Coturnix japonica: one gene and its partners. The protein of the gene in region 1 purifies or fractionates together with the protein of each later gene. This does not show direct contact. Links are inferred from orthologs where the notes say so. Each region holds a gene or a part of one and is shown on either strand. Other genes may lie near its edges. The genes, in order: PTPN6, KDR and RPL35A.

Region 1 (3,645 bases):
TATCCTGTATCTGGACAAAATGTCTTCTATACAGCTAGACAAAACCATAATGTGATGGGTGAGCAATTGGGTGCTGCCTCACTTTGATCATTGTGTTCAGTTTTGGGTGCCACAGTATAAAAAGGACTTAAAACTATTAGAGAGTGTCCAAAGGAAGGCTTACTAAGATGGTGGAAGGTCTAGAGGGGAAGATACATGAGAAATGGCTCAAGTCCTTGGGTTTTTTAAGCCAAGAGAAGAGGAGACTGAGGGAAGACCTCATCGTGGCCTACAGCTCCTCATGAGGATCTCCTCTCTCTGATGACAAGTGATAGAACCTGAGGGAATGGCATGAAGCTGCAACAGGAAAGGTTCAGGCTGGATATCAGGAAAAGGTTCTTCAGTGGAGGGTGATTGGGCCCCAAAACAGAATCTCCTGGGGAAGTGATCACAGTCCTGAGTTTGCTGAGGCTTAAGAAGCATCTGGATGATGTTTTCAGACATGTGGTCTTGTGTGGAGTCGGGAGTTGGACTCCATGATCCTTATGGGTCCTTTCCAACTTGAGCTATTGTACTATTTGCTATGTATACACTACCTGAGTGTGAAAAGCAACATGACTTGTTCACTGATGGGTCCTGTTGTATTGTGGGAAAGCATTAGAGGTGGAAGGCTGCTGTATGGAGTCCTACATGATGAGTTGCAGAAGCTACTGAAGTTGCATTGAGGCAATTTGCAGAAGTGAAGGCCATCCAATGAGCTTTAAATATTACTGAAGAAAGAAGTGGCCAGTGCTGCACTGACTCCTGGGTGATGACAAATGCAACAACCACCAAGTGACTGGAAATATACCCATGTCCTGTGCCACTGTGTGAAACCATCTAGAGTTGGTTTTCCCTTCATAGCATCTGGTATAATGCTGTGTTTTGGTTCTAGGAGTATAACACCTCTGGTAACACACCAGTGCTTTTAGTTGGTAGTATATTCGTTGTATAACATTTCCTTCATTGAGTCTCTGTGCCTTTAAAGTTTCCCTCTTTTAATATCAGTTTTAAGTCAGTGCAGCTGGATTCCTGCAGCTTACCACATCCCATCTTATCGTCTGTGTGTGAAACTGGAAGTGTTTTAAAAGAAGCTGTTTTTTTGTTGCCTGATCTGTCTTTCTAGCAATGAAGTTTAGTTTCCCCATTTGTGTCTCCTGTACTTCCCTCTGCTGTTAGTTTCTGTATGTCTTGACCATTGTGAGCAGCCTGTTCAGTTCTTTGCAAGATTTCTTGGTCGTGGTATGTAGGGAAGTCTGCAACTGCTGCTGTGTGAAATGAACAAATCTCTTGCTGTTCCTGCTGCCGACATCACACATCTCAGCTACCCTGTGTGGTAGCTGTGCTTAGAGTGCTGGCCTATGCCTCTTAAATTCTGCACACCTGGCTTTACTCGGATTCCCCCTTTGGCTGCTTAGAGCACATGGGATGTTTACCTGCCTATTGGGGTGGTGGAGGTTTCAGCTGCATGGCTGAGAGGAGCCCTGCAGAGCCAGGTGCATTGCACCATGCAGGTGGTCATGATTTGTAGGCTGCTTTATTGCTGAATGTGTACCAGCATGTGCTGCCCATTTTACCCTTGCAGATGTGTGGATGACCTTAAGGGAGCTGTGGTCACCTTAGTACCACTGCAAGGACTTTGGTGTGGGGAGCAGTTGTGTTTCTTACCGACCTCACGGGAAAGAAGGAGAACAGAGGTCTTGCAGAACTGAAATCTGTGACCACAGCTGGGTCCCTAAAAGCACTTATAGAGCCAAACCTGATGTGGAAAAAAAAAAAAGAGAAAAAAAAGCAAGGGCCTGAGAATAACAAGGGGCTGGGGAGGAAAGACACAAAAGGAGAAGCAGAAGTGTGTGCAAAGCAGCTTGGGGCTGAGGAGCTGATGGTTCAGAGTGCTTCCTGTTCCTGGAGCCGCGTGCGTTCAGCTGCGCACCAGGCTGCTCCTACCCCTGCACTACAGCAGCGCACAGAGAGCCAGGAGATCAAGGCACATATCCAGAACCAGTGATGGAGAGGCACTGAATGGGCTGACGGTAGACTGCAGGAGGGATACATGGCCAGCTCCCAAGAGAAGCAGAAACAACTTAGTATCGGTTGCTCCATCGCTCATCTCCAACTTCCCTTTTCTCACCAGCGCAAAGTGACTTTTCCTCTGTATTTTTTGAGTTGCTTTGGTGATAGCCACTTGACCTCCCCTTCTTTTTTCCCTTCACAATGGTGAGGTAAGAGGGTCTGACAAGTGTGTGTGCGTGTGTGTGTGTGTAGGCAGGGGAACAAGCTCAGAGGGGATCACACTGATAGCTGTATCTCAGCTGTAATCCTTCATAGGCTTGGGAAAATGGTGGGTACAAAGGGTGCTTGTGCTGTTGCTGGCTGTCATCTGCATAGGTCTACCTAAGGAAGATGACTGGAAGCCATTCTTCACTGTACAACAGTGGTACCTGGCATTTTATGTTTACTTGTTTCTGTTTTCATCTCCTTTTGTAGGTGGTTTCATCGTGACCTGAGTGGGCTGGAAGCTGAAGCCTTACTGAAGGGACGAGGTGTCCATGGGAGCTTTCTAGCCAGACCCAGTCGAAAGAATCAAGGGGATTTTTCCCTTTCAGTTAGGTAGGTAATTTGGACTTCAACTGCTGTCTTTCCAAGGTTACATGTGCAACATGCTTAGGTCCTCATTTGTCCTACGGTCTCTCCTTCAACCTGTCCTTATTCCTCTGACTTCTATCCAAGCTGTAAAAGGACCTGAGCTATCCAGACCCTTCTAGACTCTGCCTTAACTTTCCTCAAGAGCTTCTTCTTCCAGCCATCTCCTTCCACTGGGATGGTTTGCTGCAGTTCCATGTTAGGAGGTGATGCAGGAAGGGGCTCCACATTTTCTGGTTTTTATTCAGCCATCTCACCAGTCTACTCTGTGCCTCATCCCTCAGGGTTGGTGATCAGGTAACCCACATCCGTATCCAGAACACTGGGGATTTCTATGACCTGTATGGAGGGGAGAAGTTTGCCACCCTTGCAGAGCTGGTGCAGTACTACACGCAGCAGCAGGGCTCACTGCAAGACAAAGATGGAACCATCATTGACTTGCGATATCCGCTCAACTGTTCTGATCCCACTACAGAGAGGTATGGAGAAAACCAAGCATTGGTATGGCTGTGGTGATGTTTCATGCCCTTCTCTCTTCCTTGCCCACATCTCTAGAGAGAACCTTGCAAAATGCATCTCCTGGCTCCCGCATCCTCCTGTGTTTCTGCAGAGACACCATCCTCAGCAGTAGCTGGATGTAGCTTGACAGCAGAGCAGACTTGATGGGGATCTATTCATACTTCCAGTTTCTTGTCGCCTTTGTGATTTCTGTACTGTTCATAAAAAGCAGGGGTTGTGGCGTTAGTTATGTATCCTCAGTGGTACGTGGGGGTGACTTGGTGTGTGGGAGCCCTCAGCCTTGCCCCAGACCTGCTCATTTGGTCCTGGTTGACTCATGTGGCTGAGTGGGGCCCACATTCACCTGCTATTCCCAGCCTGCTGAGTCTCCTTCCTGTCCCCACTTTGCATACCTCTCTGACACAAAGTTCCTAAACCAAATCAGGTGGTTTTGCCCTTGCATCAAGTGTTCAGGCTTGCTGATGC
Region 2 (4,061 bases), on another chromosome or scaffold:
CAGGAGACTGGCAGGACTTGGCATATCTAAACTCAAAGCTGGGAAATGGGATGAGTGATGCCTTGTATTGCCTTCAGCTTTGCACAAGTATGTGCAGGTTTCTCTTCTAACTCCATAGTGCCCAGAGTGTGTTTTTCTCCATTGGCTGTCAGGAACATAAATTGGAGCTATTTAACTGAGACAACATCCATTTTATCCCAGATCCACTTAGAGAGAAGGCTGTTGTGTTTGCTTTATTAGTACCTCCATGAAACTCCAGTTTTTCTATTTGTTATTTTTTGGTCTAATATTTTTTATGGATGTCATCCTGACCAAAGGGCTTCTTTTGGAGGAGAGCCTTCAGGAGAGATGCAGCCCTGCCTGTGCCGATCCCCATGGTTTAAGGGCGTCAGTCTGCTGAGTCTGCTGTTGTTGTCCTGGGTCCAGGCAGGGGTCCCAGAAGTTCAACCCAAAGAAAGAGACACATGTCTGTGTTCCAGGCTCCTCTGTTTATTATACTTCTGAGCAAAGCTTGCAGGAAGTGAAGCCCTCCAGTGTAACTGAGGAAAGGAGCTGTTTTTTCAAAGCTGTTTCTTAGAATTTGCTCAGAGATCAAGGCTGTCAGGAGCAGGAGGTCAGAAACTTGCCACTTGTTAGGCAGTTTGTCCTTTTCAATAAATGGATATTTTGAGGTTTGCATAATATGTTTTGACAGAAGGATTAATTTCTCTGTAGAGAGATAAAAGGATACTGATATCACTGTGCTGTTTTCAGCCCAGTTGTGGATAGTGGATGCAAAGCGATTGTTTTTGTTTTCTTTTCAGTCAGTACCGACAAGGTAGCAAAAGAAAAAGCCGACCCGTGAGTGTGAAAACGTTTGAAGATATCCCATTGGTGACCACTGTAAAAGTTGTTCAGGAGGTGAGACTGTTCTTTCAATGTCTTCTCCTTTTATTGATGTGTGTTATTTTTTTTTCTTATTTTTAATCCCCTTTCCATTTAATGCATTTTAACCACTTTTATAGGAAAACCAGACAGACAGTGGGATGGTTCTTGCATCTGAAGAGCTAAAGACTCTGGAAGAGCAAGATAAACAAGTCAAAATACCCTTCAGGTAAGGCTCAGGCTGCAAATAGGATTGAATATGGATTTTTTCTTGTAGTGATTCAGAGCACTGATAGGTTTGTAGATTTTGTTAAAATACAAAAACTTTTCTTACTGAATTCTTAAAACCACACAAAGAAAAGTTTTTCATTGTGTATCTGGCCATCTGCATTTTGTACCAAGAGAGGGAAGGTAGCACAACATAGAAGGGACTTGTATTTACCAGCTGCAAAAGCATCAACCACCCCTTGAAGGAACTGAGCCAGTAACACAACTGGGATGACAAAGAGCTCTTTTTTGTTATTCTTTCTTTCTTTCTTCTGAAACTAGCTCTTGAGTTTTCAGGATGTACCTGGGTGTATTTTCAGAGCATTGTACAGGGATTCAATTGTGCAGTTCACAGGAAATACAGTGGCATTCATCTGACTTATGCTTTCTGAGAGCTTCTCAGAGGAATTATTTCATACAAACAAAGGTGTATAGCAGTCATGATTGCACTGTGGCTGTACTGAACAAAACATACCCAGGTTTTATCTCCATTTCATCTACAGTTGCAATCTAACTCCCTACTATCATAAAATTAAATATTTTTCATTCATTAGGGTTAGTTAGGGCATATAAAAAGATTTCTCCTTGTAATCAAACACACATTTAAAAGGGCTCAAAGCCAGTTTTGTTGAATTCACTGTTTTGCTTTTGTTGTCGCTGTGATGTGAAGCAGTTACCCACAGGAGTCACCCACTTTGTCTTCCAGAAGACAAATCTGCTTCTCTCTGACTTGACCTATCTGTTATTTTTGCAGCACACTGGCGCCCAGCAAAAGCAATGAGTCTGTCATGTCCGAGGCATCCAACCAGACAAGTGGCTACCAGTCAGGGTACCACTCAGACGACATGGACAACATGGTCTGCTCCAGTGAAGACACAGAACTCTTGTGTGCCCAGGAGGCCTCCCCCACGCTGCCCCGTGCGCATGGCCTGGCATATGACAGCCCTGCGCCTCTTGCGTCCCTGCCACTCTAAGCCGAAACCAGTGGCTCCAGGTCCCCTGGGATGTGCCTTCCTTGCCTTGGCTGGTGGTATTCACATTTGGTGTGTGCAGAGACTGCGGCTGTGGGCCTAGGGAAAGACGTTTATTTTTTCAAGAAGAGGATACAGAAGCATCTTGCAGCCCCAAGGCAGTGCCAGGCTGTGAGGTGCATTCCTCCAAAGACTCTTGTGGCTGAGGATGGGAAGTCATGGCTGTGGTGTGTGAATGCAGTGCCAACTCTATGACAGAAGCAGTGTAATGGCCTTTAGGACCTCGGTGGCAGGCCGAGCCCAACACGGACAGTGGCATGGCGTTCAGCTCAACTGTTGCTAATTGTACGAAATAATGACACAGGCCTGCTCTTTTGTTTTTCCCGGCTGGACTCCAGGAAGGAAACGGCACAGCGCTGGCTTCTTGTTTCTCAGAGTTATCCCATGCCTGCACCTCCACAAACTATAAAAGGAACCTCCAGCTCAAGGCTCTGGCACTCACCAATAGCCTAAGGCTAAACATAGGCTGGGCTAAATATAGGTGGGAGAGGTGATCTCTGTCCTTTGTGGAGAAAAATGTTGCTGTACTAAACCCTGTGATCTCCATTTCCTTGGGGAAGATGTACTTGGTGAGATTCATTAGGAGAAACGGTGTGATGATGGAACATGGGTGCATGGGGCATGTTTGCCATGGTGATGTCTCTGCACACACCCTCCCCAGCCCCCTTAGTCCTTGCCAAGGTCCTGATCACCTGTGAGCTAGTCAGGAGTGCTGTGGAAAATTCTCCTCTGAGCTGCCACTGGGGCAGAGATAGAGAGGGAGGGTTCATTTACTTTGGGAGCATAGACAGCCCTTTGGTCTTGATGGGTTATCCGAAAGCCACTCTGCCTTCTCTTCTCATCCTTCTTCCCCAGGTGTAAGCCACATCTGTCACTGACAAACTCAAAGTTTGTTTGCACCAGCAGAGATTGTGATTTATGTAGTCGTGGGAATCTGTGACTGATTTCATGGCAGCTCCAATCTTCTCCAAGTGGTGAGACTGTAGTTGATGGACAACTTCTTACTGTGCTCTTGTAGTCCCAGAACACTATTGATAAACACAATGCAAACTGCAAGGTTTTAAAATGTAAAGCTATTTCTACTGAGTTCTTTTTTGTATTTTTATATTGTTGGGTTATTTTGTTTGTTTGTACTTACTATAAAGTCAGATGCTGGGAACCATGGATATAAGGCATATACAGTATTTATAGCCTACTTATGTAGAAATAAATGTAATATATTAAAATATAAATATATATATTATATAATGGATATTGTACTATTCACATTTTATATCAGTGTTCTGTAGCATCATGAGGGTCACAACATTTTTAATAGATAAAGCTTTTCATTTTATTATAAGAGACTGGAAACAGAGGTGGGGGGTACAGGTAAATTTTCTCTTGCCTGTATTTACTTATATCCTGACTACTGACAGGGAAACTTATCAAGTACTAGTTATCTTAAGTGCCACTTAACAAATCTAGATATTTCTGCCATTGTACAGGTCTATGAACGCTTCTGTGGGTACCTGTAGTAAAGAAACTTCAGTAATTTTTAATGGTTGGAAGTAACTGCATTTAAAGAATGGCTCGTAGGAGAAGACTGCTTATACAGCCTGATTCTCCTCTGAGTTTATAGAGCTCAGTTAAGGAATGGTTGATCCAATTGTATTGAGGCTGTTGCCTGAGGAGTAGCAGTTTATCTTAAAGCCTTATTTGATTTTTTCCCACTTGTCTTTCTTCCGTCTCACTTGCAGCTGAAATGTTGCCCCCTGCTCTTATGTAACCATGCATTGCTTAATTTTGAATCCATACTTAAACCTGCTACCTTTTCACTCTGTTTTCTGCTTTTTGACTTTCTCTTCTGTCCCGTGCACACCTGCATTCTTAGTTTGACCACTGTTAAGGCACTAGGAC
Region 3 (4,047 bases), on another chromosome or scaffold:
CATGAAGCAGTCTACAAGAGTCCCTGATTTAGGAACAAGCAACACAGTGACTGAGGCTCTAAAAGTTGGCTTCTCCAGAGCCATTTTCTGGTTTCTAAACTGCTTCCTCCTTGATTTGAGGATTGTACTCCATGGGAAAGTTGTGTCTTAAGAAATAAACTACTTAGTAAAAACGAGCCTCTGTGTTTGAAGAGAAAAACCAAGTGTACCTCTAGGAGGTCTGTCAGCCTCAGTGTGTGTGAGGGAGAAGGAGAACTGCGCCCACCATTCTCGGGATCTGCTGTATCAGATCAGCTGGCACAGCGGAGCTTTCACAGCCCCATCTGTGGGAGAAAAGCATCCTCGGCCAACAGGTGAGACGGGCTCAGGGTGCTCTCTAAGGAGAGCAGTGCCCTCTATAGCGCAGCCGGAGCATTGATCGAGCACTACAGTTATGTCGAGCAGCTTCTGCTCTACTTTATGCCTCTCCCCAGAACCACTTAGTTACGGTGTCTATTAGAAATCAACTCATTAATAACGGGCATTAATAATGAGTAGTTACTAATAGATTTTTGAAGGGAAATCTGTCTTATTTTGTTGTCTGTGGGGACTAGAGGAGCTTCAGTGTGTGCTTATAGAGTATCAGAATGACCCTGATTTGGGGTATTATCAAAGTCCCTGTTCTTTATTATTTATAAAGCTGTGCACTTAGGAGACGTCAGCCATCTGTTGTTTATTTTCCCCTGATCCTTTACTTATCATCTGACCACTGAGGTTGTAGAATGAAGCCTCAGAAGCTCATCTTATGTCACCAGGGTCCTTCACACAGCCATGCCAAAGAGACAAGTACCTGTGTGGAGACTTATAGAATGCTGACAGAAGACATAAAAGGCATTGAGAAAAATGAGAGCAAACACAGAGGCACATACACTGCTGACATCTGCCTTGCCCTCCTGTGAAACCGGCATGATGTACCCGAGGATGGCGAGCTGATCGATGCAATTCTCCAGCACAGCAGTGAGCAGCAGAGCTTCCAGCCGAGGGAGCTTCTCCATTTCTTTAGTGCCTGTGCTCTTGTAAAGAGGAATAAAGAGGAATAGAGGTGGGATGGTGTTAGTAACACTAAACCAAAGCCCACCCCTCTCCCTCACCGCTCAGTACCGTTCCGCGGCGCTCAACGCGACGCCGTCTCCATGGCGCCCGGGGTCCTGGCGGGGCTGTCCCTGCGGGTGCCGAGGCCTGTTCCCTCATCGCCGCCCGGAGGAGTAACGGGACTCACGGACATGGCGAGGGACGACAAAAGGCACCGATATCGGTGCACACCCAGCGCTGTGTCGGCCCGTACCGTGTGCGCTCAGGCTGTGACACGGGCAGCCCGCAGCCGGGGCCCTTAGAGCCGCAATCCCGGCGGGCCGCGCGCCGCCTCGTCCTTTGGCCGCCATCTTGGCTGCGCGCCGTGCTGGTGAGCGGGGTGCGGCGGGCGGGGTGTTGTGTCGGGCGTTGTGTCGGGCGTTGTGTCGGGCAATGACCATCCCGGCGGCGGCGGGGACACCGGGGCGGGGCGGATGGCGGGGTGTCGGGTGTGGAGCGGGCGGGATGGCGCCGATACACGGCGGATGGTGTCGGCTCTGGGGCTGAAGGGAGCTGAGGTGCCGGCGGGGCCTTGCGCTGTGAGGAGCCGGAGCCGGCCCGCTGCAGCCCGCGGTGCTGAGGCCTTGTCGGGCTGTGGGCACTGAGCGGGGTGTGTTGTTTGTAGGCTGAGCTGCCGGGACTGCGCTGCACGAGGACGCCATGACCGGGAGGTGAGTGTCTGCCTGTGTCTGTACGGCTGGATGGGGAGCTGCGCTGTGCTGACGGCACCGCTGAGTCTCTGCTGTCCCAGCACGGCGCTGCCCGGTGCACACACAGGGCGATCTCTGTGTGTGTGTGTTACATCGCTACGTTTGTGTTGCTCTCTTGAAACCCCTGTCTTCAGCTGGCTGTAGCAGTTCAGCCTTGAAGGGAACATAGAAACAGAAGGGGGGACCAACTTCTTACATGGCCTAATAGATTTCTGTGAGATGTGAAGATGTTTTTATACTCATTAAGCATTGAGGAACCAGCAGTGCTACCCAAAGCTGTGGGTGCCCCCTCCCTGCAGGTGCCCAAGGCCAAGTTGGATGGGCCCTGGGCAGCTTGAGCTGGTGGAGGCATCCAGCCCATGGTACACGGTGGGCTTTGAGGTCCCTTCCAACCAAAGTTTAATGTGTTAAACTGAGTTAATCTGTTCTTTCTCCATGTCTTTAGGTTGTGGTGCAAGGCCACTTTTGCTGGCTACAAACGTGGCCTCCGGAACCAGCGGGAGCACACTGCCCTGCTGAAAATTGAAGGTGTTTACGCTCGCCAGGAGACAGAGTTCTACTTAGGCAAGAGATGTGCCTATGTCTACAAAGCTAAGAAGTAAGTTGGTCGTCTTTTATTATCTTTTGCAAATGCCGGGATGTGAGCAGTCAGTTGGTTGGCAGCAAATTGAAGCGAGATGAGTTTGTGGTGATCATTGAGTTTTTGAGATCCTTAGAGGTGGAATATTTTGCCAGGCAAAAAGAAGTTGATAGAGCAGCCCTTGTGTGTGTGTGTCACAGCTCTGCTGTGCCTGCAGTGGTAGAGGCTTTAAGAACAATTGTTTATTGTCTTCTGCTTGATTTTTCTTTGAGAGTGGTTGTTCTGATGTCAGATGTGGAATTCCCTGTAATAAATTTGTCAGGCTGTTCATCACTGCTGTCATTTCAAGGGTGGCACGTGGCTTCTTGTAGCTGCTGCCTGTCTCGATGCCTGAGGCCCTTTGTGCCTGTGGTGTGACTGGAGAAATCCTACGTTAAGATACTCCAGGTTCATTCCAAAGGAAACACACTGAGTTCTGTGTCTTTTTGTTCCCTCAGCAACACCGTCACCCCCGGTGGGAAACCCAACAGGACGCGGGTGATCTGGGGGAAGGTGACCCGCGCCCATGGGAACAGCGGGATGGTTCGTGCCAAGTTCCGCTCCAACCTCCCCGCCAAGGCCATCGGACACAGGATCCGAGTGGTGAGCAGCATTAGGAACCAGGGGCTCCTTGTCAGCCTTTGGGCTGCCTCGTAATCTCATCTTGCACCATTGCTTTTTGTACTCTGCCTCATTTCCTACCTAGTGGCAAGGGAGCTGCGGCATCAACTTCTCTTACTCCCCATATAACTGCATGAGCTGCATGGCAGAGTCCTCAAAGTAGGCATGGGAAGGCTGAGCAGGAGAGTGACTGCTGGGTGGGAGCTTTGATACCATCAGATGCTGCTTCACGTCACTCAGCTCCTTGTTAGACTTTCCTGCCCCTTTTCTGCATAAATGGGAGTCACTTAAAATAGTTGAAGAGATCCATGATTCAGATGATAGCTATAAATTTGCTGACTTGTACAGTCCAATAACAGGAATTCTAACGTGATTCTGTTGTTGTGTTTTTCAGATGCTGTATCCATCCAGGATCTAAATTTTTATTGGAAATAAAATACAGAATAATCTGTTCCATTTTTGTACTTTCCTCTTTTTCATCCCCTCCACCTATATTGAGAGCTTTGATTCTTCAGTAGTGTACCACAGTACACAGCACACTGATGTAGGAGTGACTCTAAACTAGCTCCTAAGCTGGAGATTTGACCCGTACTTGTTAAAGGCATCTGTTGAGCAGGCTGCCTTTGAAAAGGCAAATAACTGCCAGCCTTTATCATTGCCTCCAATGTAGAATCTGAATGGCATGTAGGTCCAAACAATAAATGTTTGCAGTCTTTGTAGACCGTGCCCCCAAGTTTTCTATAGAAAATGAGAAATATTTCCTTGTCTCGTGTGTGTGAGTGTGAGGTTTGTCAAACAGAAAGGCAATGAAAGTGGATTTAAAGATTCTTAAAGTGCGATTTTCTTAGTGCATAAAAAGATACCGTATGACTTTAAGGGAAGCTTCGGGCAGCTGCAGGTTGTCATGGCTGCTGCTGATGTCATAGTCTTCTTTCACTCCCCAAAGGAATCATCAGTACCCTGAGTGGGTGGTGACTGCTGAGGCAG

Evidence for each region.
Region 2: the proteins of PTPN6 (region 1) and KDR purify together in Homo sapiens (affinity purification with western blotting; 3 studies listed by BioGRID and IntAct, with this or other methods). This does not show direct contact. The link is inferred for Coturnix japonica from reciprocal best matches to the Homo sapiens genes PTPN6 and KDR.
Region 3: the proteins of PTPN6 (region 1) and RPL35A purify together in Homo sapiens (affinity purification with mass spectrometry; 3 studies listed by BioGRID and IntAct, with this or other methods). This does not show direct contact. The link is inferred for Coturnix japonica from reciprocal best matches to the Homo sapiens genes PTPN6 and RPL35A.

Annotation. Positions count from the first base shown.
Region 1 is NC_029516.1:69,602,611-69,606,255, forward strand, and holds part of PTPN6 (tyrosine-protein phosphatase non-receptor type 6), read left to right. Parts: intron 1-1,869; exon of another isoform or gene 1,870-2,232; coding exon of another isoform or gene 2,233-2,240; intron 2,241-2,505; coding exon 2,506-2,628; intron 2,629-2,945; coding exon 2,946-3,140; intron 3,141-3,645. UniProt on the Homo sapiens protein: Tyrosine phosphatase enzyme that plays important roles in controlling immune signaling pathways and fundamental physiological processes such as hematopoiesis.
Region 2 is NC_029519.1:58,827,936-58,831,996, forward strand, and holds the end of KDR (vascular endothelial growth factor receptor 2), read left to right. Parts: intron 1-803; coding exon 804-900; intron 901-1,004; coding exon 1,005-1,093; intron 1,094-1,885; coding exon 1,886-2,105; 3' UTR 2,106-3,416; downstream 3,417-4,061. UniProt on the Homo sapiens protein: Tyrosine-protein kinase that acts as a cell-surface receptor for VEGFA, VEGFC and VEGFD. Plays an essential role in the regulation of angiogenesis, vascular development, vascular permeability, and embryonic hematopoiesis.
Region 3 is NC_029524.1:13,176,513-13,180,559, forward strand, and holds RPL35A (60S ribosomal protein L35a), read left to right. Parts: upstream 1-1,331; 5' UTR 1,332-1,441; intron 1,442-1,735; 5' UTR 1,736-1,770; coding exon 1,771-1,781; intron 1,782-2,265; coding exon 2,266-2,418; intron 2,419-2,897; coding exon 2,898-3,042; intron 3,043-3,454; coding exon 3,455-3,478; 3' UTR 3,479-3,514; downstream 3,515-4,047. Other genes in the region: IQCG (dynein regulatory complex protein 9), read right to left, coding at 909-1,052, 1,141-1,230.